Nothobranchius furzeri: one gene and its partners. The protein of the gene in region 1 purifies or fractionates together with the protein of each later gene. This does not show direct contact. Links are inferred from orthologs where the notes say so. Each region holds a gene or a part of one and is shown in the gene's direction. Other genes may lie near its edges.

Region 1 (10,176 bases):
CTCGGTCTGCCTCTGAAGGAGCTGTCCATGGTCTCCACAGTGGAATGCAGTGGATGGGAGGGTTTTTTTTTAAGATGATGGTCATCCTCACCAGCATCCTCCTTTCACACATCTCCTCAACTGAATCCAGTGGGCAGCTCAGAACCGAGCGAGCTTTGTGAACTAGCTTGTTCAGTCTCTTCCTGCCTCAGTCAGAGCTTTAGCACTGAAGGTTAATATAAAAAATCAGACTGAATTAAACTTTACACCCATCCTGTGATGCAGTGTTTGACTGGATGCTAGCATGGTGTCAGCACCAGTGTAAACGTGATTCTCTCAGGAGCATCGTAAATGTTGTGAATGTTGTCCGTCCTCAGGGAAATCCTGCTAAAGAAGGCAAAGATGAAGGCTAAAAAGAAACCAAGGAGACGCTCTGACAGTTCAGGAGGTTACACTCTCTCTGACATCATCCAGAGTCCTCCTACTGCAGGTGAAACTTGATGTCCGTTTCTGTTTAACAGCAGCATGCTGTTGGGTAATCTGACACATTGTCACCAACATTCCTGTTGTCCAGCGGTGTCTCCGCTCCTGGTGAAGTCAGGCAAGGCCAACTCCACCGAGTCCCTGCAGGAGATCCTCACGTCTGACTCTGAGAGCAGCTTTATGGGAGTCGGCAGTCCCAGAGATGTTCAGTCACCTGTGTTCCCTGACCGAGCTGAGGTTTCTTTTACATATTTAAGATTTATGCTCACAGTGTGAAAATCTAGTATCTAATCTTTACATTTGATGCGACTTGGGTAGCTTTAGATGTATTTAGTCATTTCTGAAGGTTGGATGTTTCCAACCCTGTACAGCTGGAATACAGATCACTGAGAGGATAGGTGTGGGAGTCTGAAGGTTTTTATTATTCTGCAGGATGACAGAGCTTTTAGTCAGAGACTGAAGAGCCCCCCCAGCACCCCAACATCCCTGAAGAGCAGCGTCCCCACACTGTCCTCCTCCACTCCACAAATTATTCACAGGACTCTTCCCTGGTAAGGAAGGTTCTAAAGCTCTGCACATTTATAAACACTTCATCTTATTACACTAAAACAAATTAAAGTTGAAGATTAAATAGTGGTTGCAGCACAACTTGTAATTTCTGTAATTCTGCCATTTTGCATGTTTTTTTAAAACAGGGACTAATTTCTACAGTTTGATAATTCAATTCAATTCAAAAATACTTTATTAATACCAGAGGGAAATTGATTGCTGTGGTAGCTCAGAATAATAATAATAATCAAGTCATCAAAGAGTTGTTGTATATTACAATGGCTGTTGGCAGGAAGGATCTCCAGTAGCGGTCAGTGTTGCAGCGAAACTGAAGAAGCCTCTGACTGAAGACACTCTTCTGTTGTCGGACAGTCTTGTGAAGAGAATGCTCAGGCTTGTCCATGATTAAATAACAGCGTCCTTTTAACCGTCTGCAGCCCAACTCGTGCATCCCCAGTGTTGGATCTAAGGACCATCATGGACATGGAGGCCAGCTTCCTGCAGACTCCTGGTGCTTCTCCTAAAAGTCCTGGAACGTGAGGAGGGGGTTGACTGCTTTTATTGGATTTTTTTTAACAAAGGATTTTATTTGATTATGTGATAGTTTACTTCAGCTGTACATATTTACCCGTCTGACAACAGCAACATCAAACACTCGCTGGTTTCCACTAAACTGTCCCAGAAGCAGAGGAAGCTGTTGGCCATGGCCAGCAAGGAGGCCAGTGGGGAGCCTCCAGCCTCCAAACCAGCCCCCACAGGAACTCCGTCCAGATGCAGCGAGAAAGCCTGGTGAGAATGAACGCTGACCTTTTCCAACAACTATCCTTTTGATATGTTGATATGATCTACAGGTGGATTCACTTGCCAACCAGCATTCTGTAGTGCTTATATATTTGTTTGGTTTTTGTAGGGCGACAGCTGTCCAATCCTCACCATCCTTGTGTTCATTCCGGGCTCTTCTGGAGGAAGAAGAAAACTGTTTAACAAGAGAAGGACAAACAGGAACACAGAGAGGCCAAAGTGCCCTGGGCCCCCCGGTCAGCGCCACACCTGCTGCCAGGAGGGTCACGTTAAAAAGTACAGAGAGCAGCGAGCCAGAGAGACCTGCAGGGTGAGCAAATCCCTTCTACACAGCAGACGTGGAAATAAAAACAACACACACACACACACACACACATTGCACAACTGAAGTAAAAAAAAAAACATTTTTTTGTTGTACTTGTTATGCTTAATTTACATAACTGCTTTTTAAAAAGTGTTTTAACACTTTTGAATGTACACAGATCCAAACCAAATTATGAAATGGATTATTTTTGCCTGTGCCATGTTCTTCTTTGGTGTTGGAACACTAAAGCAGAAAGAACTAAAACTACTTCCAGAACAGATCTCATTTCGTTCTGTACCTATGATCTCCACTTGAAGGTGCTGTTGAGATGTTTGAGACTTCTGTCCCTTGATAACATCAACTTTGCACATTTTTTATATTTTAGTCTTTCCCCCTAATCTCTCACCCATAAGTTATTATTTTTACTTTAGCTTCATTTTTGTGTCTGAATGAAAACAGAAATATTATGCTGTGGTGGCATAAATGTTGTTTATTCTAGACTGGAAAAACAAAAAGGGATGTGTGTGTGTGTGTGGATGTGTGTGTTTTTGTGTGTTTGCTTTTATATGTTTAAGTGAACTTTAACCTGTATTGTATGGACATTTCCACACTGTGGGGATATTTTGCTGGTCCACACAGTGCTGGTGTGAATTGGCTTCTAGTTTGGATTAGATTCGGGTTATTGATAGAACCACATTGGTTAGGGTATGGGTTAGACTTTGTGGTCACAAAAATGAATAGAAGTCAATGGATGGTCCTCATTATGACAGAAGTGTGTGTGTGTGTGTGTGTGTGTGTGTGTGTGTGTGTGTGTGTGTGTGTGTGTGTGTGTGTGTGTGTGTGTGTGTGTGTGTGTGTGTGTGTGTGTGTGTGTGTGTGTGTGTGTGTGTGTGTGTGTGTGTGTGCGTGTGCGTGTGCGTGTGCGTGTGCGTGTGCGTGTGCGCGTGCGCGTGCGCGTGTGCGCGTGTGCGCGTGTGTGCGTGTGTGCGTGTGTGCGTGCGTGCGTGAGTGAAAGAAAGAATTTGTTGACTAAGTCTGGTTAGACAAATAGAGTGAGGTGTGGTGTTCCACTCTGAGAGGTGTGTGCAGCTCTGAGTGACCGGTACAGCTGGGTTGACCTGCCTGCAGACCCAGAGTCACTCTGACCTTTGCTGACTGCTAGAAAAACACAGTAAACACACACCATACACCCTGACATGCTAAAAGTCAGCCCTGGTTTTTATATGCTTTTATTTTCTGATCTCGGCTGTTTGAGACCAAAAGCCTAAAAAAAAAAAAGAAAATTCCTCAGCGTGCTGCCATTTCTGACGATCTCCGTTTATTTAAGGTCTTGAGAGAAAAGCGAAGGCATTTCCAGTATCTTATTCTCACTGCTGTATTCCTAAAGCTTGGTGCTGCGATGATAAAAACAGACTTGTGGATATTAAACAGCTGTGAGATTCAGTCAAGTGAAGCCGCTGATGTTGATCAGAAATGATGAGGGCAGTCCTCATGTCACTGTGGATCACACAGAGCAGAGAGCACGTTTCAGCTCTTCCTGGGTTTTTGGATGAGCAGAGACAGACAAGTTCAAGGCTCAAGAAGGACCAGCAGTAGTCAGCCTGCTGGGACAGATATAATAGAGATCCCTTTCCAGTCTTTGATTTGACCAAACGGCAAACACTTTTATTTCTTATATGATCTCTACAGATGTACCTTTTGGCCATATTACTACACTTGTCTTATGTATAGCACGAGACCCAACAGGGGCCAACAGGAGGCACTCTGACCAAATGCTCGAACCACCTTGCCTAGATTCTGTCCACGTTGAGGTGCCGTGAGCCCGCGACTGTACTCTGTCTCTGCTGGATGTCTGAGCTCCTCACCCTGTGGCTGAGTCCAGCCATCCTATGGAGGAAACTCATTTTGGCTGCTTGGCTTTGCGATCTTTATGCCATTACTCAGAGTTCATGACTGTAGGTGAGGACTGGGATCACCATAGCGTCCCTCACCATAGCAGACCGGTGAAGGAGCTAAGCCAGAAGCCCGTAAACACAGCATGCTATATGCGACTTCACTTCTTTGCACACAGGTAACTTCAGAGCTGTAGACTGGAATGGAGTCTAAACATGATGATGTTAGGATCCTCTCAAATCGAGGTATAGAATTAGATCTGAGCCTTAACATCTTCAGTGTGAACTTGTACTACTTCAGTATAATAGAGTTTGGGATTAAAGTTATTTACCACCTTCTGACTTTGATTGTGTTTGAACTCCAGCCGTTATCCAACACACAGGTTTGTAGCCAGGTAGAGACACGGACTTTACCTCATAGGAGCTTCTCAGGAACGGTCGACTCAACCTTTGCCAAGTCATTCAGACTCTTGCTGCTTTCACTCTAAATGCTCGGCCGCTGATGCTCTGTGTGTTGCCCGTATCTGCCCTCAGGCCTTGGGTGCTGGGTGCTGTGGGCAGCCCCCCCCTCGCCACCCTGGTGACCTTTGCCTCCATCGTGGAGGAGGAGAAGCAGCAGGAGGCCGCTCTGGTCCGCAGCCGGGAGAAGCCGCTGGCTCTCATCCAGGTAGGCGCTCATGTTCTCACACCCTGCTGAAGAGAAGCTTCTGCGTCCAGCCTTAAAGCAGAGAAGCTGCTGTCTGGTTAATGTTATCCAGTAAACAGCAGTTCTGGTCAGTAATAAGGTCCCTCCAGTGCTGCTCAGCTCTCTCTACATACAGGCTGCTGCCATCACACACCCCCTCCCATGGGACTTCCTAGTTATCATTATATTAAAGACTCTTATTACCGTTAAGCTGTCAGCATTTATTATTTTTCCCACCAGCAAGCTGAGGTTTTGCTGAATGTTTCATCTGATTCCAGCATCTGTGGCTGTTCTTTTCTTCGTAGATTGAAGAGCGAGCCATACAGGACCTCCTACTCCACTACAAGGCACGGGACAACCCAGATGAGCTGATAGTAGTGGAGACAACTCCCAGAGGTCCCATGGCTGCCCCGACCTGGCACAAACACTGATCCATTAGTTCTGTTGAACGAGGAGCTCGGAGAGAATCTCCCCTTCTCTCCTCAAGTGTTGCTTTCATCTAGTTTAATAGCTGCACAGAGTTTCGTTTATGTGATGGAAGGTTTTCTTTCAGAGGTTAGTCTCTGACCATCTGATTACTCACGCATCGCTCGGCAAAAACTACACATGGTACGGTCAGCAAGTTTAGGTTCATGGAGTCAAATGAAGTTGCCAAAGATTGAGAAGGAAAGTTGATGCTTAAGCAGCTAGAAAATGCTCAAAACTCAAACACAAAGTGTGTGTGTGTTTTTCTGTTTGTGTGTGCGTGTGTAATAGGTGGAAGTTCCCTGTGTGATTAAGAGTGCCATTGCCTAACTGGGTATTTATCTGCTTTACCTAATGAGTTATTTTTCCTGACCTGTTTGGCTCTTCGCCACAGCTGAAACATTTGCAAACGTTTTCCTTAAACAGGAATTTATCACAGAAAATGCTAAAACAATTTGGTGCAGACTTGACCGTCACTCTTAGACTTTGATGCCATTTAAAATAATGATATATTTATCTTGAAAAATCCATTCAGTTGGACCACCGATTCTCCTGTTTAGATGCCATCTTTGTGTTTGTTCACGTGTCTGAGACCTAAAGATGTGAAGAGAAGCTGGCATGCAATAATAAATCATCTCAACTGTGGAATGAACCTGGCTCGTTTGTATGCTTCCTAATAGGTTTGAGTGATTTGAATGAAGGTAAAAAAAGAAAGTACTTGCGTCAGTAATTTGCTACTTTTACAACATCTGTCCAGAATGAGAGAAAGATCATTATCAAGTCTCCACCCGTGATTAACTCTGATGACCCTGATCTCCACGGAGAGCCAGGTGATTAAAAGTAGAGCATCACATCTGAAGTCAGAGAGGCGGCTCATGAGGGAAATGTTAATCACAGATTAGGATCCATTAGCCAGCGCATGATGAAACGTTAAACTAACAGGACAAACTCTTCCTTTTGACATCACACTAATGCAGCGTTAATATTTCTAAAGAGCTGCTCATTCTGTTTGTGCCCTGAATATCAATGCAATCTTTCAAGTGTCAGAATGAGTCTGTGGGGCTCAATAAGCAACTTTAAGATGATTCTGGAGAGTCTTGGTACTTTTGTGTGTGTGTGTGTGTGTGTGTGTGTGTTTGTGCGCGCAGATTCTACCTGCAGCTTCCTAAAATCATGTGTAAGTAAACTCAAGCTGATTTTGTTGAGGCTAAAGAAAGCCAACGTGATGGTGCCTGGGCGTTCTGTGTGTTCTTTAAAGTTTCAGTTGAGATCTTCCTAAAGAGACCACACTGCTTGTGTTCTGGTGGAGCTCTAAGCTGAGGATGACCATAGGCAAACACCTGGGTGTGGATCAGAGATGCTCTGTGTTCTCTAAGCTGAGTTTGACCCATCTATTCATTGCATGATCCTGCTTTTCTGAGAGCGAAAGGTTGCATCAGGTCAAGGTTATTTCTCTCAGAAGCTCTGGAACAGAAAAGCATTAGCAGTCCTGATATGGAGCAAAGCAATCCAAAGCTCAGAAGGAGGTTTACTGTCAGGCATGCAGCAGCTGATCGTGCAGCTAAGGCCTCCACGTGGAACACCCCATTACAGATGGGAAAATAAATGTAACTGACTTTAATTGCTTACATTTTTTTGAGTTTGTTCTGATCTGCAAAAATTAGTTCTAACCTGCGCCCCATACTGAAGGTTAATCTAACAGTTTCTTTTCCATTGCAACAGAGTCCAAAAGGGCCTTTCGAGGTTGTTTGCAAAGCTTGCAGACCTGCTGATTCTTGCTAATTAGAAAATACATTTGAAGTCGGTGTGCTCGTGGAATGGCTGCCTTTTCAGCATGGACCCCCTCCCTGCTGGCTTCAGTCCTGGACCATCAACACCACAACCATCAAATCACATTGGAGCTATGTCTCCAAGTGCATTACATAAGCTCCACTGATATCAATTTGCAGCAATTCAAAGACTACAGCAGCTTAATGCTGTATCTTATTTTTTCTTAGCAGATGCCCCACATTATTCCCATCATAAAGACTTATAGACTCATATATGAATGTGAAAAAAATGAACATTCAATAACTTGGTCTGAGGTGAATAGTTATGTTTATTACATGATCCTAAACCGTTTAAAGCGAGATGAGAATAATAGCCATAATGTTACAGGGTTACAAGTAACTTTGGTGTAATGAACTAAAAAGCATGAGCAGTTGTCAAATCATCTCAACAAGTCTGTCTTGGGCAATCTTATTAAAGTTTTCATAGACATAAATATGCCCTACAGCATCATATTAAAGTTGAACAATTATCCAAGATTAATTTTAGATTGAATTGTTGGTTCTACATTTATAAATAACATATGAACTCAAATTCCATCCATCCATCCATCCATTTTCTGCAGCTTATCTGGAGTCAGGTCGCGTGGGCAGCAGCCCAAGTCGAGATGCTTAGATTTCCCTCTCCCCAGCCACTTGGGCCAGCTCCTCCGGGGGAACCCCAAGGCGTTCCCTGGCCAGCCAAAAAACATAGTCCATCCAACGTGTCCTGGGTCTTCCCTTGGATCTCTTTCCAGCTGGATGTGCCCAGAAAACCTCACCAGGAAGGTGTCCAGGAGGCATCCTGACCACATGCCCGAGCCACCTCAACTGGCTCCTCTTGATGTGGAGGAGCAGCAGGTCTACTTCAAGCCCCTCCCGGATGACCGTGCTTCTTACCCTATCTCTAAGAGAGAGCCAAGCCACCCTGCAGAGAAAACTCATTTTTGCTGCTTGTATCTGGCATCTCATTCTTTAGGTCACTACCCAAAGCTTATGACCATAGGTGAGGGTAGATCAACTGGTAAATCGAGAGCTTTGCCTTTAGACTCAGCTTTCTCTTCACCACAACAGATCGGTACAGCGTCTGCATCAATGCAGATGCAGCACCAATCTGCCAATCGATCTCATGCTCCGTTTTTCCCTTACTCATGAACAAGACCCCAAGATACTTGGACTCATCCACTTGAGGCAGGACCTTGTCCCTGACCTGGAGAAAGCATTCTACCCTTTCCCAATTTAAGAACGTGGTCTCAAATTTAGAAGAGCTGATTCTCATCCCAGCCTCTTTACACTCAGCTGTGAACCGCTCCAGCAAAAGCTGGAGATCACTGTCTGATGAAGCCAATAGAACCACATCATCTGCAAAAAATAGGGACTTGATCCTTAGGCCACCAAAACAGATCCCTTCAATACTCTGGCTGCGCCTAGAAATTCTGTCCTTAAAAGTTATGAACAGAGTCGGTGATAAAAGGCAGCCTTGGCGAAGTCCAACTCTCACTGGAAACGAGCCTGACTTACTGTCGGCAATGCAGACCCAGCTCTGACACCGGTCATAACAGCCCTTATCAAAGGGCCTTGTACCCCATACTCAAGGATTAACCCCCACCCCCCACAAGGCCCCACCCCGGGGGACGCGGTCGATCGCCTTCTCCGAATCCACAAAACACATGAAGATTGGTTGGGCGAACTCCCACGCACCCACCAAGATCCCCCTAAGGGTATAGAGCTAGTCCAGTGTTCCACGGCCAAGACGAAAATCACTTATCTCCTTCTGAATCTGAGGTTCAAGTATCCGACAGACCCTCCTCTCCAGAACCCCTGAATAGACCTTACCAGTTTAGGCTCAGAAGTGGGATCCCCCTGTAGTTGGAAAATACTCTGCGGTCTCCCTTTTAAAATAGGGGGACCACCATCCCAGCCGCGTTAACCAACACACCCCAACAACATCCAGACCTTTAAGGAACTCAGGGTGGATCTCATCCACCCCCGGGACCTTGCCACTGAGGAGTTTTTTGACCATCTCAGTGATCTCGGCCCCAGAGATTGGAGAGTCCGATCCAAAGTCCCCAGACTCTGCTTCCTCACTGGAAGGCGTGCCAGTGGGATTGAGAAAGTCTTTGAAATATTCTGTCCACTGATCCACAATGTCCCGAGTAGAGGTCAGCAGCACACAAAAAACAGTGTTGGTAGTGCACTGCTTTCCCCTTTTGAGACGCCGGATGGCTAACCAGAATCTCCTCAAAGCCATACGATAATCTTGCTCCATGGTCTCACCGAACTTCTCCCAGGCCCGGGTTTTTGCCTCCACAACCACCCGAGCTGCATTCCCCTTGGACTGCCGGTATCAATCCACTGCCTCTGGAGTCCCACAGGCCAAAAAGACCTGATAGGACTCTTTCTTCAGCTTGACAGCATCCCTAACCGCTGGTGTCCACCAGCGGATTCAGGAGTTGCCACCACGACAGGCACCGACAACCCTGCGGCCGCAGCTCCGGTCAGCTGCCTTAACAATAGAAGCACGGAACATGGCACACTCAAACTCAATGTCCCCCGCTTCCCTCGGGACATGTTTAAAGTTCTGTCGGAGGTGGGAATTGAAGCTCCATCTGACAGGAGACTCTGCCAGACTTTGCCAGCAAACCTTCACAATATGTTTGGGCCTGCTGGGTCTGACCGGCTTCCTTTCCCACCATTGAAGCCAACTCACCACCAGGTATTGGTCAGTTGACAGCTCCGCCCCTCTCTTCACCCAAGTGTTCAAGACATGCGGTCGCAGATCATATGAAATGACAACAAAGTCAATCATCGAACTGCGGCCTAAGATATCCTGGTGCCAAGAGCACATATGTTATGTTTGAACATGGCGTTTGCTATGGACAGTCATGCACAGAAGTCCAATAAAAAAAAAAACACCGCTTCGATTCAGATCAGGGGGGCCATTCCTCCCAACCACACCTCTCCAGGTCTCACTGTTGTAGCGTTGCCCAAATGAGCATTAAAGTCCCCCAGCAGAACAAGGGAGTCACTTGAAGGAGTGCTCTCCAGCACCCCCTCCAAGGACTTCAAAATGGGTGGTTAGTCTGAACTGCAGTTTGGTGCATAAGCACAAACCACAGTCAGGACCCGTCCCCCCCACATGAAAGCGGGAGACTGCCTGTCATTCACCAAGGTAAACCCCAATGTACAGGCACCAAGATGGGGGTGCAACAA
Region 2 (11,115 bases), on another chromosome or scaffold:
TTGTGAAAGGGGGCTATTTTTAGATGAGCACATTAGCTGGTTAAGCTAGTGGGAGCTTGCACCATGGGGAAGTGCAACATTAATGGTAACTGGCTGGCTAATCCCACGTTCACGATGTGGTTAGCACCGGTTCCAGGCAATAGCTGGAAATTATAGCTTAAATTTAATTTAAAAAATAGCTTAAATTTGGTCAAAGTGGCCTTAAAAAAGGTCTTAAAAAGTCTTAAATTTGGCTCCCTTAAACCTGCAGATACCCTGGTTGATGCATGATTGCGCATGCGCCGTGAGCGGTTCTGGTACTTTTTGGGTCGCAGCTGCTCGCAGCGCCGCTTCAACAGTGCGATACCCTCACGAGGGCCGAGCAAAATATCAAACACACCAGAAGTTCGTGCGAGCTCACGATTGCTGATCGGTAGCTGGTCACGAGGTGTTAATCGCCTCTCGTAACCCCCTGTACACTACACGACGCTCGGCGCAAAACTCGCCCCGATGTCGTGGATTCTCGCACGAGTGGAAAATCGGCTCAAAAAAGTGAAGAAGTCGCACAGTGTACGCCCGGCTTTAGGCAGGTGTCTGGTCTGAGAGCTGAAAACACACAACAGCTATGCTGCAGAACTTCCACTTCTCTATAGATGTCAGTAATACAGAATCCTAAATGATGTGATGTATGAACTATGGATCTTTTTAATTTGGTGTGGTGGGTTTATGATTAGGTTAGATTAGTCCAAGTCGTGTGCACTAGATATGATCGGATTGTGATTTTCAAAGACTTAATTTATTTTCTTTTTCAGCATATTTTCAAGTACCTTCAAGCTGAAGCCATCAAAAAAGACAAACCTGACTTTTTGATGGGGTGGAAAGGCCTTTTTAAAATGGTAAAGCTGGACTGTTTCCTTCTGTAGCTGCTGAGCGGTGATATTCTGACCTCCTGGATACTGATGTTGTTTTGGTGTTTTACAGAATGTGGGTCGCCAGAACAACGACAGTGACTGTGGTGCTTTTGTACTACAGGTGAGTTTGCAACCAGTCCCAGTAGTTGATCACACATACAGGCTGCACCATTAAACAGACCCTTGTTGCCCAGTACTCCTGGTTTCCCATCAGCTGTGATCACACGCTGATCAGCTGGGACACTTTGTTGGTGGAACCCAAAGTCCTGGAGCCGAGTTGATGTGCACCTATGTTTAAAGGGACTTTACGGACTTTTGAATTTTTATGCTCGCGATTGCCCCCTCAGGCCAAAAGCGTAACGGCAGCTTCAATAGTAGGCTCGTGCACGAGGCGCGCATGCTGTACGTGCACACTCCTTAACGAAAATAACAGCTGAGACAGTCGTGTGTGTGTGTGTGTGTGTGTGTGTGTGTGTGGCCCGGAGGACAGGAGAACGCGCAGCTAATTAATTAAATAATTTGGTTCTGTACCTTTCTCTTCAGCACAGCCGACAAAGGTTTATGATGGGTCAGTCCTCCTGCATGCTCAGATCATTCCCTTCCCTTGCTTGAAAAATTGTTCCAAAATGAAAGTTGAACCCACAACTTTTTATCTGTGAATTCAATGCTGATCGGCAAGTCTCAAATAAAAATTTGTACATCTTACTGTAAAAATATATACCATTAATGTAAAAAATAAACTCTCAAGTAAATATGTTCACATCTGGATTCGAACCCGGGTCTCCCACACAAGAGTCCGACGTCTTACTAGGTGAGCTAAAGCGCCAGTGACACCCTTTGTATCTGTAACGTTTATATCCTTGATTGCAGCTGAAACAACGTTCAAAGAACGGTTCGGAGTGAAAATGGCTATTTTGTTGCTAATTAGCAGGAAATATCTAGAAGAAAGTTCTACAGAAAGTAGCTAAGGGTCCTCAGAAATGTAGCTAGCTTTGTCACTAGGCGTTAGGAACAGCGACAAAGTGGCACTGCCTCTCTCTCTGCTGCTAAAGCTACGGATAGCAAATGCTACGGGCGATGCCTGAGCGTGAACGCGCATGAAGCAGCCTGCTCGACCCGAGCATCTCTCTTTTTCTGTGATTTTACAGAAAAACAGGCAATCACAGTAAAAATGCCAGGGCTCATTCTACAGGACCAGGGCATTGCAGGAGAACGTATGAAAAAGACATTTATTATTTCTATACATGTTTTGGCTGTCACACTTCCATAATGTCCCTTTAAACAGCCGCACCAACACGTTAACCACAACAACGCTTGGCTGCGATTGGCTAAGAAAGGATTGTTTGTTTTTACACTCAAATGCATTTCAGAATGAGTGAAATGTGTCTGAGTTCCTTGTGTAACGGGAGCTTTCCACTACGGCTGCAGTGGGTGGGCGTGGGCGACCCAGCACATCAGTACCGCGAGGTGATTTGTACACAAAACACAACAGAGAAGAACACGGTAGTGATGCCGAACATTCTGCTCAGTCAGTTGCTTTTTGTCAGACCCTGAAAAGGTTGCAGGCAGCGAGGCGGACTCCACCCCCTAGCCAAACACTGACCGACATTCACCGTTATCGGCCCGGGTCGTTAGGCCTGGAACCACATCGATTCAAGTGTGAAAAAAGAGCGGTGACTACAGACGTGTTACTAACGGAGATGGCCTAACCGCGCTGCTCTGAGTGGGACACAACTGTCCAGTAAAACCTAGAACCTGCAGCCGTCTGCAGCACAGACATGAAGCGTTGGGTTAGCGTTTCCTGGTGAGCGTGCCTTGGTGCTGTTAGGAGGTGAATGCATAAAAGTAACTTGTGTCTGTTCTTTTTCCTCCCTGTCGCAGTACTGTAAGTGTCTGGCTCTAGGACAGCCGTTCGGCTTCGGGCAGCAGAACATGCCCCAGCTCAGGAGGCAAATGTACAAAGAACTGTGCCACTGCAAGCTCACCCTGTGACCTTTCACCTCTAGCCCCCTCATCCCAACCACACAGAGGTGATGAAACAACTGAAGGACAAGGGTAGGAACTGATGGGCTGGAGAAAGGACTAAACAAAGCCTTTGTTGACTCCTCCTGAGAAAAGACACTTTGCATATCCACTGTCACCGTTTTCCTTTAGTCTGCTTCCCTCAGTTCACCCTTCTGAAAAGTTGGTTTGAATTTAACGCCGTAGTTCCTGTATAGTAGCTGCCAGAGATGAAGACCAGCATCCATGTTGGGAATGAGCTTATTGTTCATCCTACTGTTGACTCTGAAGCACGAATAAGGGTTTAGAGGAGGCGGTTCTAGTTTGTCATCATTTCATGCTCCTCACGGTTTTTGTTTTTGTAAAACCAACAATATTGCCACCCATAATAAAATGCTAGAGTGAGTTTTTGGACAATGTCAGTTTGTGTTGGTACCATTTCTCTGTGTAGTTTGATCCGAACCCCTCATCGATGTCTTCAGCTGGGTCAGCGCTGGGCCTGGATCTTGGAGTAAATGCTGCCAGGAGAGGGTTTTCATAAGAAGTTTGTTTGAGCTTCACCGTCAGCGGACAAGCCAGACCCCCCCCCCCGGCTCCAGCACCGTAACCTTTTTGCCTTCTCCAGTAACAAATGTAACTGAGTAATGTGAGTTTTTGTTTCTGCGTCTCAGGGCAGCCAAACAAAGACCCAGAGTGAGGGGAGCCTCTACTTTGTCTTTTTACTGTGTTTTTATTCCTGTCAGTAAATGTGGTGAAATGCGTATTGCTTTGAACTAATGGTGTTGAAACGGACTACGTTTTCTGTTCTTTTGCAGTAAGTCTAAAAAATGTTTTAGGTTTTTTTAAGCCATTTTGGTGGGGACCACAGCAGCTACACAACAGGCACCATATGTCCACAACTGAGTTACGTGCTTTCTCTCTTTTTTTTTGTTCCAGTGTATATATATATAAAAATATATACACAAAATAAACATCATACTTGTGGATAGTTGTGTTTTTAGATTTGCATCCTGTTTTCCTCAGTTGATGCAACAGAGTTGTTTTCTATATCTTCTATGATGCATTATGGTTGCTAAAATAAAAAAAACATGTGGCAAACAAACTGTGTATTTAAAGCTTGAGTAGCTAGTCATCCATAAAGTCAGTGTGATGATAATAGGGATGCAACGATACCACTTTTTTCCAAACCGATACCAATACTTGGATCTGAGTACTCACAATACCGATTACCACTACCGATACTTCTACCACACAAAAAAATGCAATGATTTGGAATTCAGATTTTATTTTCTTCTCTGCTTTCAACAGGAGGACTGTGAGGTAGATAAAAAGTAAAATATATGAAAAGAAATCATCACAAAACCAAAATATTAGGTGAACAGAAATGACAAGTTACAGTGAAGCCATTTTCAAGCAACTGCATTGGTATCGGTTAACTTTTACCGATACTGGTATTGGTATCGTATCGGTGCATCCCTAGATGATCATTCATAATTTACATAAAAAAACATTTCATGACCCGAACAAGTGGAGTATATTCTTACAGAACCTTCCAGCAGGTCCGGCCATTCTGAGCCACTCTTGCTTTAGTGAACTAAAAATGATTCATCCTAAATGTGTTGATTTTGGACTCGACCGCAGCATTTACACTTGTGGTGAAACGTGATTTTAAACATCTATGGATTAACATATCTGAAGATTCAAGTGGCCTTTACTCTTTGACCAAAACAGACAGAATGAGAAAGTTTACAGATAACAGATGTAGGGAGCACGGACTATCGCCACTGAGGTCAGAGCTCAGCTGACCTGCACAGGTAGGACAAAACAACACATTACTGCTGTCAAAAAGAATTACTGTGACAATTTATTAGAACTGCAGAAATGTTTATAAGAAAATACATTTTTGTAATTGTTTTACAACATTTTGGGAGGGATAAAACACTTTGGTACAATACATTTGATGTACTAATTATGCACTGTAAAAAGAGTCCAACCTCACAATAACTTAGAAAATGAATAAACTCTGAATGTGCGGTGTAAGTTAATGTTCAACTGAAAATGATTCTCATTATTGACCCATTTTATCAGCCATTAAAGGTCAACATTTCGCATTTATTTTACTATTGCGGTTAACGTTTTGCCCTTTTTGGGCATTATTGTTCTTACAGTAAAGGTTTGAAGTCAGCTCTGAATCAAGTCCCCGCGTCCCGCTTCGCTCTCAGTAACAAACCATGATTTTTTATCTCTAATAGACTTTCGTTCTTGTCAATGTTTGTTTTTGATCGTTTAAACGAAAAAGATCCCTACCTCTTTCTGGTGGAAAGCAAAGTTCCGCCTAGTCCCGCCTTTTAAAAATACATGTAGGAGTGGACCAATCACGAACCTCGACAGGCGGGTCTACAGAAAAGTGACGGTGATGTTGTCCAATGAAAATGCGACGTTGTGAGTTCTTCATATATAAGAATTTTCTGCCCCGGATTCTTTCTTTGGAATAATGTCGGCTGAATATGATAACAGGTCAGTGAAATAACGAATTGTTCAAACAATATTATACTGTTTTATTTACGATATTTATTGCCGTTTGTGTTTTTTGTGTCGAATTGTGAGAATTGGTGACTAGGAACTCGCCCGTAATATAGACTTTGAGGCACCGCGAGTGGCTTATTAAAAGGACTAGCCTTGTTAGAGGCCTGTTCTCAGTGGTGATGCTAGAATCTCAGTCTTATTGATCGATACTGATATCACTTAGGTAAACCAGTTCAAAAGTTGATTTTGTAGGTTTAATCGCGTATTTGTATTCGCCAGAAGAGTGAACGTGTATTAAAGATGTCGGCCCTGAGAAAAAAGAAAAGGCTGCCGGTTCCGTGTAGCACGTGAGGGCTCCAGGCCTTCGCCGACTTGGTAGTTTAGGGTGTCTGCCGTCACTCCGTTACCAAAACCAGCGAAATGATGTTCCGTCTGTGATTTCTCGCGTACAACCGACCATTTGCAGCCTTCCCGTTAGCGTAGGCGTTAGATGTTCTGGCCTCGGTGATCGGTGCACATGGCGGCGCTAACTGGGAGGGTGGACATGCTAACGCGACTTTTCATTTTTCTGTCATTGCCGCCGCTGGAGCAACCCTAATCCGTTCCTCACGGTTTCCCTCGGCAAGGAAATTGTTGGTGATGGATTCTACTAGCTGTATCCTTGGGTAGAGACCCAGAGGCCCGCTTAGGACCAGCTAAGTTAGCAGGCCGTGGCTACAAGCTAACTCTGTCTCGCTGGACCGTTGCCATCCGGAACGTCATGTTCCGTTTTTGCTCGTTAAATACTTCATCTGACCGTAAACTCGAATGTTTTCCGGGCCACGGCCTGTTTCAGTGCCTTTGCTAGCTGGTCGGATCGACCATCTTGAATGCGGCCTACGATAAAAATGGCGGACTCCGTTGAAGGATCCAGTCTGGTCGCTTTACCGTTTAACGACTTCGGTCGGTTCTACAGACTACCGGGCTGGTTCCGATCGTTCTGGACCCGTTACCGGACCCGTCTGCTGACGGAACCCAGAGAAATGATGGATCCGTGATTTTAATGAATATTCATTGTTTGGTTTCAGAGACAATGGCCCCGAGGGCATGGAGCCCGATGGCATCATCGAGGTAAAAATTTCTACTAATTAAAGGTTTCTGACGTAGATGTGTTCCTGCTTTTTACATATTTGATGTTTCACATGTGCAGTAACTGCCTTGTATGATTAGGAGAGATTAAGCTTTTCCATCTGGACTGAGTTTAAAATGAACAGGATCCTTTTGATTCTAAGGCCTTGTTGCTGATTCTGTCTTGGTCTCATCCGATCAGCATTTGTAGGAAATATTGACGTCACTCTGCCTTGTTTCTGTCTCCCAGAGCAACTGGAACCAGATCGTGGACAGTTTTGATGAGATGAACTTGCGTGAAACTCTGCTCAGGGGAATCTATGCTTATGGTTTTGAGAAGCCATCTGCTATCCAGCAAAGAGCTATTCTCCCTTGTATCAAGGGTAGGTAAGAGGACTGGCCTCAGGGTGCACTTTAGTGTTTTCCTTAGATTAACTAAAATCTCAGCAGCTTTGTTTTGTCTTGTGTGGTTGACTGGTTACACAACATCATCGTACCGATGACTCATCAGCCCTGATGTGGCTAATGTTGCACCTTTAGGACAAGCCCGTATCAGCCAGCTGGAGTGGAGTTGGTGATGATGATCTGGATTAGTTTAGTTGAAAACCCTTTCCGTCTCTCTGGTCTCCAGGTTACGATGTGATTGCTCAGGCCCAGTCTGGCACTGGGAAGACTGCCACATTTGCCATTTCCATCCTCCAGCAGATCGACATAGAGCTGAAAGGCACCCAGGCTCTGGTTCTGGCTCCCACCAGGGAGTTGGCTCAGCAGGTAAGGACCCAGTCACACCAGTTAGGGTGTTGGCTATTGATTTCTCAACAGGCCTGTGACTGAACTGACCCAAGGGACTTAAAACTGGCTCGCCCAGCATGAGCAAGAGCTCCTCATCGCTCTTCCCTCCGCCCACCCACTAGACCTACTTGGGTTGAAATTGAGTTAAATGCCAAAATACAAAATTGTGATTTTAAAAATGTAAAAAAGGGGAGGGGGGGGGTGGAAAACGATCAGTGGCTCCTGGGAAAGGCGGGATAGGTTGAGCAAAATAAGGACAGTGTTGACGAAGGTCGCGTGAAAGCCAGCTTAAATGAGTGGATGACCATGTTGTGAAGCACCTTGGGGGGGGGGTTGTAGGCCCTTTACTACTAGGTGGGGACAGACTGGGTGACTAGTGAGTTTAGTGCATTGCTGCCACATCTTCCTCACCTTAAGTCTGACGTTGGTTTAGGGTTGTGGTTCCTCACAAACCACCTGGCTTGTGTTTGCAGATCCAGAAGGTGGTTCTGGCTCTTGGCGACTACATGGGGGCCAGTTGCTACGCCTGCATTGGGGGCACCAGCATCCGCAGTGAAGTCCAGAAGTTGCAGGCGGAAGCTCCTCACATCGTGGTGGGAACCCCGGGCCGTGTCTTTGACATGATAACACGTAAAAACATCTGTGAGTACTTTATCCGTCTCTGGGAATGACACACTTCTGGTAGATGGACTTGTATTGGACCAGGCCTAGAAGGTACCAAATGGTCGGGTTCTTTGGGTTAGTGGGTTGTTTCTTTTAACAGATCACTTCCTGAACCCAGGAAGTGCAGTATGATGATGAAATCCATGCGTGTCAACTGACTCTTGAGTCGTCCTGGTGTGGTGATGTTCAGGCTAGCGTTCTGCTGACCTGGGTTTTCACAACATCAGGGACTTGGAGACATGATCACACCCTCATGGTTCTGAGTACTTGTGTCAGGAGGTACCTTTAGCTCTCTGGACTTAGTGTGAATGAAAACAAGAAGTCCTGTCTGAAGTGACTTCCCAGAAGGAGGACTTAAAATAGGAAGGCGTTTCAACATCAGGTTCTAGCATTTGTACAGGAACTTAAAAAGCGGCGTTTTGTTTTTCAGCCTCTAAATACATCAAGATGTTCGTGCTTGATGAGGCTGATGAGATGCTGAGTCGAGGATTCAAGGATCAGATTTACGAGATCTTTCAGAAACTGTCCAGCAACATCCAGGTAAGACTCCAGGAGGGCTGGGACCTTCAGACCACAGTCTAGGTGTAGAAAAGGGTTGGTGTTCATGCTGTTCTCGTGGTTTGGTGCTGATAGGTTGTCCTTCTGTCGGCCACAATGCCTGCTGATGTTTTGGAGGTCACAAAGAAATTCATGCGAGACCCGATCCGGATCCTTGTGAAGAAGGAGGAGCTGACCCTTGAGGGTATTCGTCAGTTCTACATCAATGTGGAGAAGGAGGTGAACCAGCTTGGGCAGCATGGTCTGTTATGGGTGTGTAGAACCTGGGCTGACCATCTGACTTGGTTGTGTGTACAGGAGTGGAAGCTGGACACGCTGTGTGATCTGTATGAAACCCTGACCATCACACAGGCCGTCATCTTCATCAACACCAGGAGGAAAGTGGACTGGCTCACTGAGAAGATGCATGCCCGAGACTTCACCGTTTCTGCTCTGGTAACGGCCTCTCAGAGCCTGGTGGAACCAGGACCCGCTGCATATCCTCCGTAGAAATTCAGACTGAAGCTCGGCTGGTTTCAGGTTTATTTTGTCTCTCTCAGCACGGTGACATGGACCAGAAGGAACGAGACCTGATCATGAGGGAGTTCCGCTCTGGTTCCAGTCGAGTCCTCATCACCACTGACCTGCTGGTGCGTCCTCTCTCTCACACACACACACACACCCCAGAGTTCCCTCTCCTCCCATCTGTGGTGGTGGTGCAGGACTGATTGTTCTTTGGGAAAGTAACTCACCCGTCCTCCACTGTGACTCGGTTCAAGTCTGAAGCTCTCAACTGAATGGCGGGTTACACGTCCAGCAGCTGGCGTGTGTGTGTGTATGGAGATGGTTAACATATGTGTTCTCCTTCAGGCCAGAGGGATTGATGTCCAGCAGGTGTCTCTCGTTATCAACTACGACCTTCCAACCAACAGAGAGAACTACATTCACAGGTACTCGCAGAAATACTGCGGTTTCCTCACTATGACCCCACCAGCACCACCTCTTCCTGGTTCTGGTGAAGCTCTTCATCCTGCTTTTGGTTCTCCCTTCAGGATTGGTCGAGGTGGTCGTTTTGGAAGGAAGGGCGTAGCCATCAACATGGTGACCGAAGATGACAAGCGAACCCTGAGAGACATTGAGACGTTCTACAACACCACCGTCGAGGAGATGCCCATGAACGTGGCTGATTTGATCTAGAAAGATACCACAGGCTCTTCTTGCCCCAGTCTGCTTATTTTAGAAGTAAAATCTCGTTTTTAACTTTATGATCTGATTATTTTTCTTTGAATTCCATCATGAGTTTTTACATCCAGACACTTGACGTTGTTGTTGGCCTTTCATGAACTGCTTCATCTTTCTGCTGTAGTTTGATCAGACCAGCACCTGAGCGTTAGCGGCTCGGTGCTGATGCACGTGGTTCTTGTTCTGTAGCCGGCGCTCCTGTCTGGTTGATCACAAGTGTGAACATGAGCAGTGTCTTGAAGTGTTTAGTGCAGCACCGCTCGGGTGTCTCCTGGTTGCAACTACAGTTTACACTCCACAACTCGATGCTTTAACCCCACAGGGGCGCTGGGTTTGACCAGACCAGTATTTCCTGACTCCAGTGGGACTCTGCAGCGTTCACCCGTTCATGTAGAAGAGATCCGGTTCAGGAGCATGTGAGGCTGATTTAATAAAGAGCTGTTAATCCAAACGTGGTGTGAAACTTTGCCTCCAGCACCAGATTTCCTGAGCTTCAGCCTTGTGCTTTTAGACTTGTTTGTTTTAAACCCTAATGGGGTGGGAGGGGGGGTGAGAAGTGACATTAAAGGACCAAACCAGAAAACGGAGGTGAAATCCTCTCCTAAACCGGTCGATACCCCTCTTCATACCTCCTCTAGCCTCTTTAACATGACTTAACCTTTTTTTTGAGATCGTGTATCAAGTTTTCTACATTGCTTTCTGTAAAGTATTTATTTTAATGGCCTTTTAAAAATAAAGATTTCTCCTTTTTAACAGTGTAAACTTGGCTCTGCATTCAAAACCAGAAAAACAGTGGATCCTTGCACTCCAGCTGTTCTGAAGGGGTTGGTCACATGACCGTGGGGGTTAGAAATGTGGTCTGTCCATCCTGCTTTACTGGTCTGAGCAGGCCTACCAGTTCCTTTTGAAGTCAGGTGCTGGTTCTGATTGGCTGAAGGCTGGAGGTGAAGCTAGAGGCAGCAGCTCGGCTCCTGTGTAGTTCTGGTTCTGACGTAAACCGGAAAAACATTTATTAAACCATTTCTGACACGGAGAACAATCACGACCCTCCTGGCTGCACATTTAGAACGTGGATCTATAGGAAAAGCTGCCCTGAACATTATCACGCAACACAAGGTACCAGACCTGTTTCCTGAGCCATCAGAGATCAGTAACAGGTGACCCGGCCTTACCTGCATGAAGCGAAAACAACTTTTTGCATCGCAGGAGCCGTTTTATCGCAACCAGCTTGTTTCTAGGAACCAAAGCGCTGATGGGTGCTCTGGTTTGGTGTGGACCACATTGATCCTGGACTGGAGCTCAGATTATAGATGTTACAGGTGATGTTCCCATGACTTCAACTAAAGTCCACTGGACT
Region 3 (9,186 bases), about 6.5 Mb from region 1:
TGCACGGTGATCACCCTTCTGCTGAGCACAGATGTGGCAACCTGAAACATAATCCTTGACATCTCGGTACATGGCCGGCCACCAGAATGTGCGTCTGATGAGTGCAATAGTACGTCCTACTCCGGGGTGAAGTGAAAATTTGCCAGTATGAGCCCAGTGAATGACCTTGCTTCTCACAGCCTGCGGAACCCAGAGCCTGTCTGGAGGTCCCTTACCTGGATCAGGGTCAGTTCTCTGTGCCTCCAGTACCTGGTCACGTATCTCCCACGTCACACCTCCCACAACACACGCCGGGGGTAGGATGGTGGAGAGCTCAGTCTCCTGGTCAGAAGCATATTGTCTCGAGAGAGCATCCGGTTTTACGTTCTTGGATCCGGGTCGGTATGAAATCTGAAAGTTGAAACGAGAGAAGAAAAGGGACCACCTGTATTGTCGTGGGTTTAGTCTCTTGGCCTCTCTGAGGTAGACCAAATTCTTGTGATCAGTCCAGATGATGAAGGGAATCTCAGCTCCCTCGAGCCAGTGCCTCCACTCCTCAATGGCGAGTTTCACCGCCAAGAGCTCTCTGTCACCCACGTCATATCGGCTCTCTGTTGGGGTGAGACGGCGAGAAAAAAAAGCACAAGGGTGAAGGCGATGGTCGAGCGGTGATACCTGTGACAACACGGCGCCGACTCCGGTGTCTGAGGCATCCACCTCGAGTGTAAACTGGAGTTGGGGGTCTGGGCGATGGAGCACTGGAGCATTTGTGAATAGTTTTTTCAGCTTCTGAAAGGCTGCTTCAGCCTCTGTGGACCAAACAAAAGGGCGGTTAGTGGATGTGAGGTTGGTTAAAGGTATGGCAGTCTGACTGAAATTTCTGATGAATCTTCTGTAGAAATTGGCAAAACCCAGGAATCTCTGAAGCTGTTTACGTGACGAGGGGGTAGGCCACTCTGTGACCGCCTGGACCTTCTCAGGGTCAGCCCTCAGTCTTCCACTTTCGATCACAAATCCTAAAAACTTAACAGTAGAGACATGAAAAACACATTTCTCGGCCTTCACATAAAGCCGATTCTCCAGGAGTCGTTGCAACACAGAACGCACATGCAAGACGTGTTGTTCCAGAGTCTTTGAAAAAATCAAAATGTCATCCAAGTAGACAGTCACGTACTTATTCAACATATCTCCTAAAACAGAGTTCACCAGAGACTGAAACACAGCTGGAGCATTTGTTAGGCCGAAAGGCATTACCAGATACTCAAAATGTCCTAACGGAGTCTTAAATGCCGTCTTCCACTCATCACCCTGTCTGATTCGTACCAAGTGGTACGCATTTCTGAGATCCAGGCGGCTAAAAATGGTGGCGTCCTGAATGGGTTCAAAAGTGGAGGTTAACAGAGGCAGAGGATATTTGTTCTTTACTGTTATTTGGTTCAATTCCCTGTAATCAATACAGGGCCTTAGAGTCCCCTCCTTCTTTGGAACAAAGAAGAACCCTGCCCCCAATGGTGAGGTGGACGGCCTGATAAGACCGGTTGCTAGAGACTCCTGGATGTATTTCTCCATGCTCTCCCTCTCAGGTTTGGAAAGGTGATATAGTCGACTGGAGGGAAGTGGGGCTCCGGGTAACAACTCAATGCAGCAATCAAAAGGTCTGTGTGGGGGAAGAGAAGAAGCACGGTCCTTACTGAATACCTGTCGGAGGTCATGGTAGGCCGGAGGAACGTTGGAGAGGTCAATCTTCTCAGAAGGAGAGGTTGTGGAATGTTGGAGAGTTGGTGCAGCTGAGCGAAGGCAGGCTAGAGAACACTCAGGACTCCATCCTTCAATCTGACTGGTTCTCCAGTTCAGCTGGGGATTGTGGTGTTTCAACCAGGAATGGCCAAGAACCACTGGAGACTGGGGAGAGGGAAATACAAAAAATGCCAGAAGTTCTGTGTGGTTACCTGACACCTTTATCTGCAGTGGGATGGTCTGGTGAGTGATGGTGGACAAACTGCGATCATCCAGAGACGAAACCGTGAGAGGAGAAGACAAACGGGTGGTAGGTATTTTCCACCTCTTTACCAAACCGACATCCAACATAGATTGCTCACAACCAGAGTCCACCAGAGCCTCTAACTGAAATTGTTCAGAATTAAAACACACAGTGCATGGAATTGAACAACGGGAGCTAAAAGAGTCTGAATTTCCGCCCACCAGTAGCCCCGGCTTTACTGATGGGCTCTCCCTTTTCCCAGAGCAGGACAGGCTCTGGCAAAGTGTCCGGTCTGCCCGCAATATAAACAGAGACCTGACCTCAAACGATGTTCCCGTTCCTCTGGGGTAAGGCGAGTGCGACCCATCTGCATAGGTTCATCAGCTGTGGGGGTCTCGGAAAAGGAGCGAAGACCACCCAGGTTTCGGTCAGGAATAGGAGCTGGACGGGCACTGCTGGCGGGGCGCCGTAGCTCCTGGTGACGTTTATCAATGGAGATGGCCAGGCGAATGAGCCCCTCGAGAGACTGAGGTTCGGGGCACAGCGCCAGCTGATCCCGTACACGAACACTGAGGGCCTCCGTGAATGCAGCCATCAACGCCTCCTCGTTCCACGAAGTCCTAGCTGCCAGGGTTCGGAACTCTACCGACATGTCTGCAACCGATCGTCGGCCCTGCGACAGGTTCCAGAGTCTCTTTCCTATATCTGAAACGGACTCGGTCTGTCCAAAAGTTAATGTAAAGTCCGCTAAAAACTCATCAAAAGGTCCTGCTAAAAAGGCAGCACAATGGCTCTTAGCTTCCGCCCACCGTAGGGCTCTTCCACGTAGCAGTCCAATAACGTAAGAAATCTTACTTGAGTCCGTGGGAAAGGCTCCAGGTGAGCGTTCGAACGCAAGCCGGCACTGGAGCAGGAAGCTGTGGCATTCTTCGAACTCACCGCTGAATGTCTGTGAGGGAGGAGAAATGGCTGGACGAAAATGAGAAGTCTCTGTGGGGACAGGAACTCCCGGTCCGGAAGCAACAGGAGCGGCTGCTTGAGGTTCCGACCTTGTAGTCTGTGGCAGCGGCTGCGTAACCCGCTCATGGATCTGCCGGACTAGGGCCTCCAACTGCTGGTAACGATTGTGGGCAGCGTTGAGCTGATCCATAAGCAGTGGTAATGTCTGCTCCTGTTGAGACACTCTCTGAAGAAGATCTGAGAGGGTTGAGTCTGCTGGGTTAGCGGGTTGGCGGGATGATTCTGACATGATCTGGGGAAGGAGTTTAACCCAGGACATGCAGAATCAACACACTCACAAATAAAGATCAAAAAAAAGGTATTTATTAGTAGACAGGAACCAAAAGCGCACTGGAGCTTCCAGTGGATGAGTAAAGTCCGTACTCAGCGTCTGAGGAGGGGGAGAGCAAAATAAGGTGAGTCCTGAGAAGTAAGTCTTAACTGAGGAGGTGCAGAGATAAGACTTACTGGGCGAAGGAGATGAGGAAAAATCGGGAGGGGCCGGTCGAGAGTTGGGTGAGTCAAGGTGAGTAAATCCAGGAGAGGGAGCTTGTGGGAAGCAGAGGAGTGGGGCGACTGGAGAGATGGAGAACACGGGAAGCTGAGTCCAGACTGTTATGTGGCAAAGGTGAGTTTCCTGATGAGTCACTGAATCCTGAGAAGGCTCTACTCCAGAGATGTTCCAAAAAAATCCTGAAGAAGATGTATACACAAAAATCCACAGCGAATAATAAGCCAAAAAAAAACACAAGAGGTACAAAGTCACTGCAACACTAGACGGCTGGAATATACCGAGTAGTAGTAATCATCCCGCGTTGAGGTGTGTTCTCCAACTCCTTAAGAAGCCAGTGCCGTTGATTGCTAACCAGAAGCAGCTGGGCGCCTCCCTCTCCTGAAAAACAACTCAAAGGTGGAATGTGCGACGGGAGTACTCACCCCGACTCATGACACGTACAGCTGAGGTCCAGACTCATAGATGACAGAATGCATTGACCAGCTGACGTGATTGGTTCATTAGATATTTGAATGTGTTGGTTGTACAGGTGTGCCTAATAAAGTGACCATTTATTATAAATATCAAAGTTGTTCATCAAATGACTTCTGCAACAATGAAGCATGACTTAAAAAAAATACTCAAGATGAAGATTCAGCTGCAGTAGAAACTCCTTTCTCCTAATCGTTCATCCCAGAGATCCCAGTTTTGCTCATTTTGGGTGATTATTTATAATTTGGGTCAAATCTAAATTAGGATTAAACTTTTCTTTCTTTAAACGATGGTGACTTGTTATTTCTTAATATTAAGTGTGGATTATGAATTGTTCAAACCAAATAATTCAATAAATGTGGCAGAAATAAAATTCTGGCATTTGAGATGATGAAAACATGGACAACAAATGTGCCGGTTAGTTAAACGTGCTTTTGTTTTTGCAGATGGAGAATTACGGTAAAGCGCGGACCGTAGAGCGGCCTTCAGTCTGTCCGTTTACCGACCTCTGCCCCGACACCCCGGAGGTGCGAGTTAAAGATGGAAGCAAGATCCGCAACCTGCTGCGCTTTGCTCTGAGTCGCCTGGAGGCCAGTCCCTCACGAGCTGAGGAGGAGGGACGGCCCACACCTGAGGAAGGAAGCGAAGAACCACCGGGCCGGCCGCTCTGTAAACAGATCGTGTTTACCGCCGTTGGGAAGGGTGTCTCCAAAGCCATCACCTGTGCAGAGATTGTGAAGCGGCGCCTCAAGGGGCTCCACCAGGTCACCAAGCTCACCTACAGCTCCGTGGTGGAGGTGTGGGAGCCGCTGGAGCCTGCTGCCGGCCTCGACAGCCTCACCGTCAACAGGAACCTGCCTGCCATCTGGATCCTCCTCTCCAGGGAGCCACTGGACTCCAACCAGCCAGGATACCAGGCGCCCGGCCGCTATGACGCCCTCTGGGCTCCGACCGCCAGCAAGGAGGAAGGTGGCGGGCCAACGGGACAGCGAGCTGGACACCGCAGGAAGAGAGGAGGATGGGGAGGAGGACGGGGAGGAGGCAGAGGCAGAGGGAAGGGGACCGGCCGTTAAAATTAACGCTCTGGTCAAGCACCAGAAGGACTCAGGTGTTTCTACAGCATGTGGACATGTAGGGACACTGGGAGGTTTAAACTGGTTTAGTTGGTTTTAATATAAGGAGGTAGAGGAGTCTGCTCCAAACCAAATGTTTATTTGGATTTGTTTTTCTAAGAATGTTTTACCCAACTTTCCTTCCCACCAACATGTAAGAGTTCATTAATGTCATCCATCTTCCATCGGAATCTGTCTCCACGACCCATTTAAAGTCATCCAGATGTTTGTTGCTCAAACAGCTGTAATCTGATGAGGGTTTTCATAAAGTTACATGAAGGTCTGCGTACAGCTCAGATTGTGTTGCACGGTGCTGTGTTCATATTGTCTGTGACCTTTTAACCGAGGACGAACATGAACGCACCACGGTAAAGATGGTGTTGAAGAGGACGGCCGCTCTAAGCTGACAAATGTTTCGGACAAACCAAACCTCCTTCATGCTGAAGAGTTGTTGATATTTTGGTGTTCATCATAAAGGAGAGCCATTTGTGTGATAGTCACGTAGAAAATAAAGCTTTCTTTGGCGTGCAAGTGCGTTTTTATTTTTGGTTCTCTGTGAGAGAATGAATGAATGAAATCTTTATTTCGAACATTATAATAAGAATAAAATAACTATTATAACAATAATAATAATAAAGTCATTGTAGACATTAAAATAAAATCACTGATAATCACACAAAAATTTAATTATCATATTCCTTTTGAAAAGGAGTAGGAGGAAGCTAGTGCTTTTTAAATCCTAACCCCCTTTTCCATTTGTTCAAGATCAAAAGGAACAATGTCGTTTTTCTAATTCATCATAAATTTTCTATATTCATCTATAGTCAAAGGGCCTATTTACACCATTACATACAAAATAGTTCCACATACCTTTTCCATTTATCCACCACACACAGCGATTAACATTCCCTACTACACACACTTACAACACACCCCATTTTCTTTTGTACACTTACACCCTCACACCACTCATTGGATCTTTTTGAGTCAAAATCCCTCTTCCTCCCTGTACCTCATGAAGACCATGTTTTTGTACCACTTTCTAAATTGGGTCATACTTGGACATTGCTTTAAATCACTATTTAATCCATTCCATAATTTTACCCCACAAACAGAGATGCACTGACTTTTTACTGTTGTTCGTGCGCACAGATGGGTATTTTAAATTCCATTCCTCTCTCAAATTATATTGTTTATATGAGAAATACTTTTGTGTAGGAGCTGTTGGTCTGCTAATTGCTAAAACACATTCATAAAATTCACATCGTTGCTGTGTTCTAAATGTTTTCATGAAAATGGAATGCCATGAACAACCTGTTTACCTGTTCCTGGATGTGCTATAGAGGGCGTGATTCATGGTTCCAAATTACTAAAATTGTCCAGGTCTTGAAGCTGCCCCATACCATCACACTGCCACCACCATGTCTGGCTGTAGTACTCCAGATGGAACTGGATGCACACCTTCCAGGTAGGCCTGCTTTTGTCTCTTCAGTCTACAGATTTATCCAGAGGTCTTTGGGATCATTGGGGTGTTTTTGGTGAGGCCAGCAGGGCTTTAGATGTTGTTCTGGATTTTCCTGTTCTTGAACATCTTTAGAAGAAGGCATGAAGGTTGCTTCTATCTTCTGACCTACTTTGTTTTGGCACACAGGTTCTTTTGGAATGGGTTTTAGTTCTCCAGGTCTGGTAGTGATCAGATTTCTCATTTCTAAAGCTTACTTATGCACAGAACGGTCTGGAAATCATATAAGCTCATTTTGGACATGGAAAATCTTGCAACACAGCTGGTTAAATGGTTGCATGACCACATTTTCACACCGTGACACACACACACACACACCTCAACTGTGAATAAAAATGCGAACCTGAACGAAAATACATTCATTGTACTTCACACACACACACACACACACACACACACACACACACACACACACACACACACACACACTCACACACACAAACACACATATATACACACACAGAGGGAGAGAGTGTATTGTGCAAAAGTTTTGGCAGGTCTGAAAAATGCTGCCAACAAAGAATGCTTTCAGAAATATAAATGATTGTCACTGAAAGAAAAGCCCGAGTCGAAATTGTCCAAATTGTTTTAATGAACCCCTGCTCTGTGTGTGGCTGGTGTGACTGAAGCAGATGGTGTATTTTTACTAGTTTAGTGCAATTTATCATATTTTTATTTTGAACTACAATCACAAATAAATTATTTAATCAACAAAACATACTTTGGTTACTTTCTACTCTGCTTGCATGCTTTATTATGGCCATGCCTCCTGAATTACAAGCAGTGTGGCAGCATGCAGCACATTTTCTACAAATGTTTTGTTAACACTGAAATTGCTGAAATTTATTTTAATTTTCAGTGACTTCCTGTTTGGATGACAAGGCTGTCACAGCGGCTCTTCTCTTCTTTTATAGCAGCACTGTCTATGAATGCTTTCTTGTTTTACTGTGTTTTTGGTGTTAATCTGTGGTTACTGGTGACATCTTGCGCTGCTGCTGATCCTTTTATCTCCTCAGAGGACTCGTCGCCTGTCAGCTGCTTACTGAGGATTACTCTTCCTGCAGGACGATCAGAAGTTTGCAATCGAAGCAGAGAATGGGTGGGTTTGGATGGGTTCAGGAAGGGCTGAAGCTACTGCTGGTCTGCTGGCTGGCAGGCGGATCAGTGCTGGCTCTGGTCCGGCACCCTGTGCCCGTGCTGTTGATGATGCCGGTCAGCCCTGGGCCAGGTCGAGAGAACCTGATGGCCAGACTGGTTCCAGCTGTCAGACTGGCTCTGCAGGACCTGGAGAAACAGCCACCACCACTGGGAAACTATGAGATCCAGTTCCAGCTGCTGGACTCACAGGTTGGTCTCCAGAACTAAAAGCCTCCTGATAAACTTTGGTCAGCTGTGTTCTAGATTTCACTCCAACAGATCTAAAACAAGTAGAATGTCTTTTTTTTGTAAAAATAAAAGGAACCAATAATTCTTCTAATTTCACATTTTGTTTAGTCAGCCTTGTTTTTAGTCAGCATTCATCTGTTCCAGCATTTCAGGCTGATGCACATTCCTGGTTCCAGTTTGGTTTTCCCTCTGATATTCTCGTTCCTTCTCCAACACGTAGACACATCCTAATGATACCAAGGGATGAAGAGTTCCAACTGTTATCTTGCTCAGTTCTCCCTACAAACACACATGATGGTGTTTTATTCATATTTTTCAGTGTGATCCTGCTAAAGCTCTAAAAGTCCTGTTTGACACCTTGTGGGCGGGGCCTAGGTACCTGTTACTGTTTGGGGGGATGTGTCCACCCGTAACGGCGCTCATCGCTCGTGCTCTGCCTGCTCTCAGCCTGGTTCAAGTGCAACATTTTTTATGTCATCACTCTGTGTGATCTGTTATCTGAGTTATCACCTCATTTTATTTTCCCATGGTTTCAAAGGTGTCCTTTGTGGCCCCGCCCCCCAGCCAATCCAACAAGAAGTGGTACAGGAACCTGTTCAGCACAGCTCCTTCAGTTCGAAATCTGAACCAGGCCGCAGTGAAGCTGCTGCAGCGATACAAGTGGAGGCGAATCGGGCTGGTTACAGAGGAAGAACCTGGGTTGACTGAGGTGATGGGAGATGGTGACCTACTGACCTACTGACAAATCTAAGATCAACACCAATTCCATCTATCATTTGAGCATTTATTAGAGATCTGTTTTAACAAAAAAACTACTTTGTGAAGTTTAATCAGTGAAACTTTTGTCTGAAACAACCCTTCAGAATACATTTCTCAGAATGTGACCTTTAACCTTTGTTCTGTGCAGATAACAGAATTGGAATTTGAACATACTCAGTTTGTTTAAAAATCACCTGGTCATTCACCTTTTCTCATCAGCAGTTCCTCTGGTACCTCGTCTGATTTCTCTGCAGATGAAGAAGGATCTGATCCGACAGCTGCTGAAGGCCGACGTTCAGCTCGTTGCTGCAGAAAACTTCTCTGACGATGCCTGCAGCAGCCTGAAGGAGCTGAAGGTAGCTGAGGGGCTAGCAGAGGTTCAGGATGCTTCATGTTCAGGTTTCAGTTCAGGGATCCATGTTTGTTCCGACTTTACAGAAACGAGATGTACGCATCATCATCG

What was found.
Region 2: the proteins of ibtk (region 1) and eif4a1b purify together in Homo sapiens (co-immunoprecipitation; 4 studies listed by BioGRID and IntAct, counting the BioPlex papers as one, with this or other methods). This does not show direct contact. The link is inferred for Nothobranchius furzeri from reciprocal best matches to the Homo sapiens genes IBTK and EIF4A1.
Region 3: the proteins of ibtk (region 1) and rpp25l purify together in Homo sapiens (co-immunoprecipitation; 3 studies listed by BioGRID and IntAct, with this or other methods). This does not show direct contact. The link is inferred for Nothobranchius furzeri from reciprocal best matches to the Homo sapiens genes IBTK and RPP25L.

What each region holds. Positions count from the first base shown.
Region 1 is NC_091745.1:53,127,395-53,137,570, forward strand, and holds the end of ibtk (inhibitor of Bruton tyrosine kinase), read left to right. Parts: intron 1-356; coding exon 357-469; intron 470-553; coding exon 554-699; intron 700-894; coding exon 895-1,013; intron 1,014-1,448; coding exon 1,449-1,547; intron 1,548-1,653; coding exon 1,654-1,800; intron 1,801-1,921; coding exon 1,922-2,122; intron 2,123-4,542; coding exon 4,543-4,675; intron 4,676-4,998; coding exon 4,999-5,124; 3' UTR 5,125-5,354; downstream 5,355-10,176. UniProt on the Homo sapiens protein: Acts as an inhibitor of BTK tyrosine kinase activity, thereby playing a role in B-cell development. Down-regulates BTK kinase activity, leading to interference with BTK-mediated calcium mobilization and NF-kappa-B-driven transcription.
Region 2 is NC_091743.1:86,634,675-86,645,789, forward strand, and holds eif4a1b (eukaryotic translation initiation factor 4A1B), read left to right. Parts: upstream 1-5,300; 5' UTR 5,301-5,385; coding exon 5,386-5,408; intron 5,409-6,484; coding exon 6,485-6,527; intron 6,528-6,774; coding exon 6,775-6,907; intron 6,908-7,155; coding exon 7,156-7,295; intron 7,296-7,789; coding exon 7,790-7,958; intron 7,959-8,105; exon of another isoform or gene 8,106-8,246; intron 8,247-8,409; coding exon 8,410-8,519; intron 8,520-8,612; coding exon 8,613-8,756; intron 8,757-8,834; coding exon 8,835-8,972; intron 8,973-9,076; coding exon 9,077-9,166; intron 9,167-9,386; coding exon 9,387-9,466; intron 9,467-9,568; coding exon 9,569-9,713; 3' UTR 9,714-9,758; exon of another isoform or gene 9,759-10,080; 3' UTR 10,081-10,511; downstream 10,512-11,115. UniProt on the Homo sapiens protein: ATP-dependent RNA helicase which is a subunit of the eIF4F complex involved in cap recognition and is required for mRNA binding to ribosome.
Region 3 is NC_091745.1:59,616,140-59,625,325, reverse strand, and holds the end of rpp25l (ribonuclease P protein subunit p25-like protein), read left to right. Parts: intron 1-4,390; coding exon 4,391-5,017; 3' UTR 5,018-5,587; downstream 5,588-9,186. Other genes in the region: gamma-aminobutyric acid type B receptor subunit 2, read left to right, coding at 7,674-7,925, 8,284-8,421, 8,503-8,673, 8,978-9,079, 9,162-9,186. UniProt on the Homo sapiens protein: May be a component of ribonuclease P or MRP.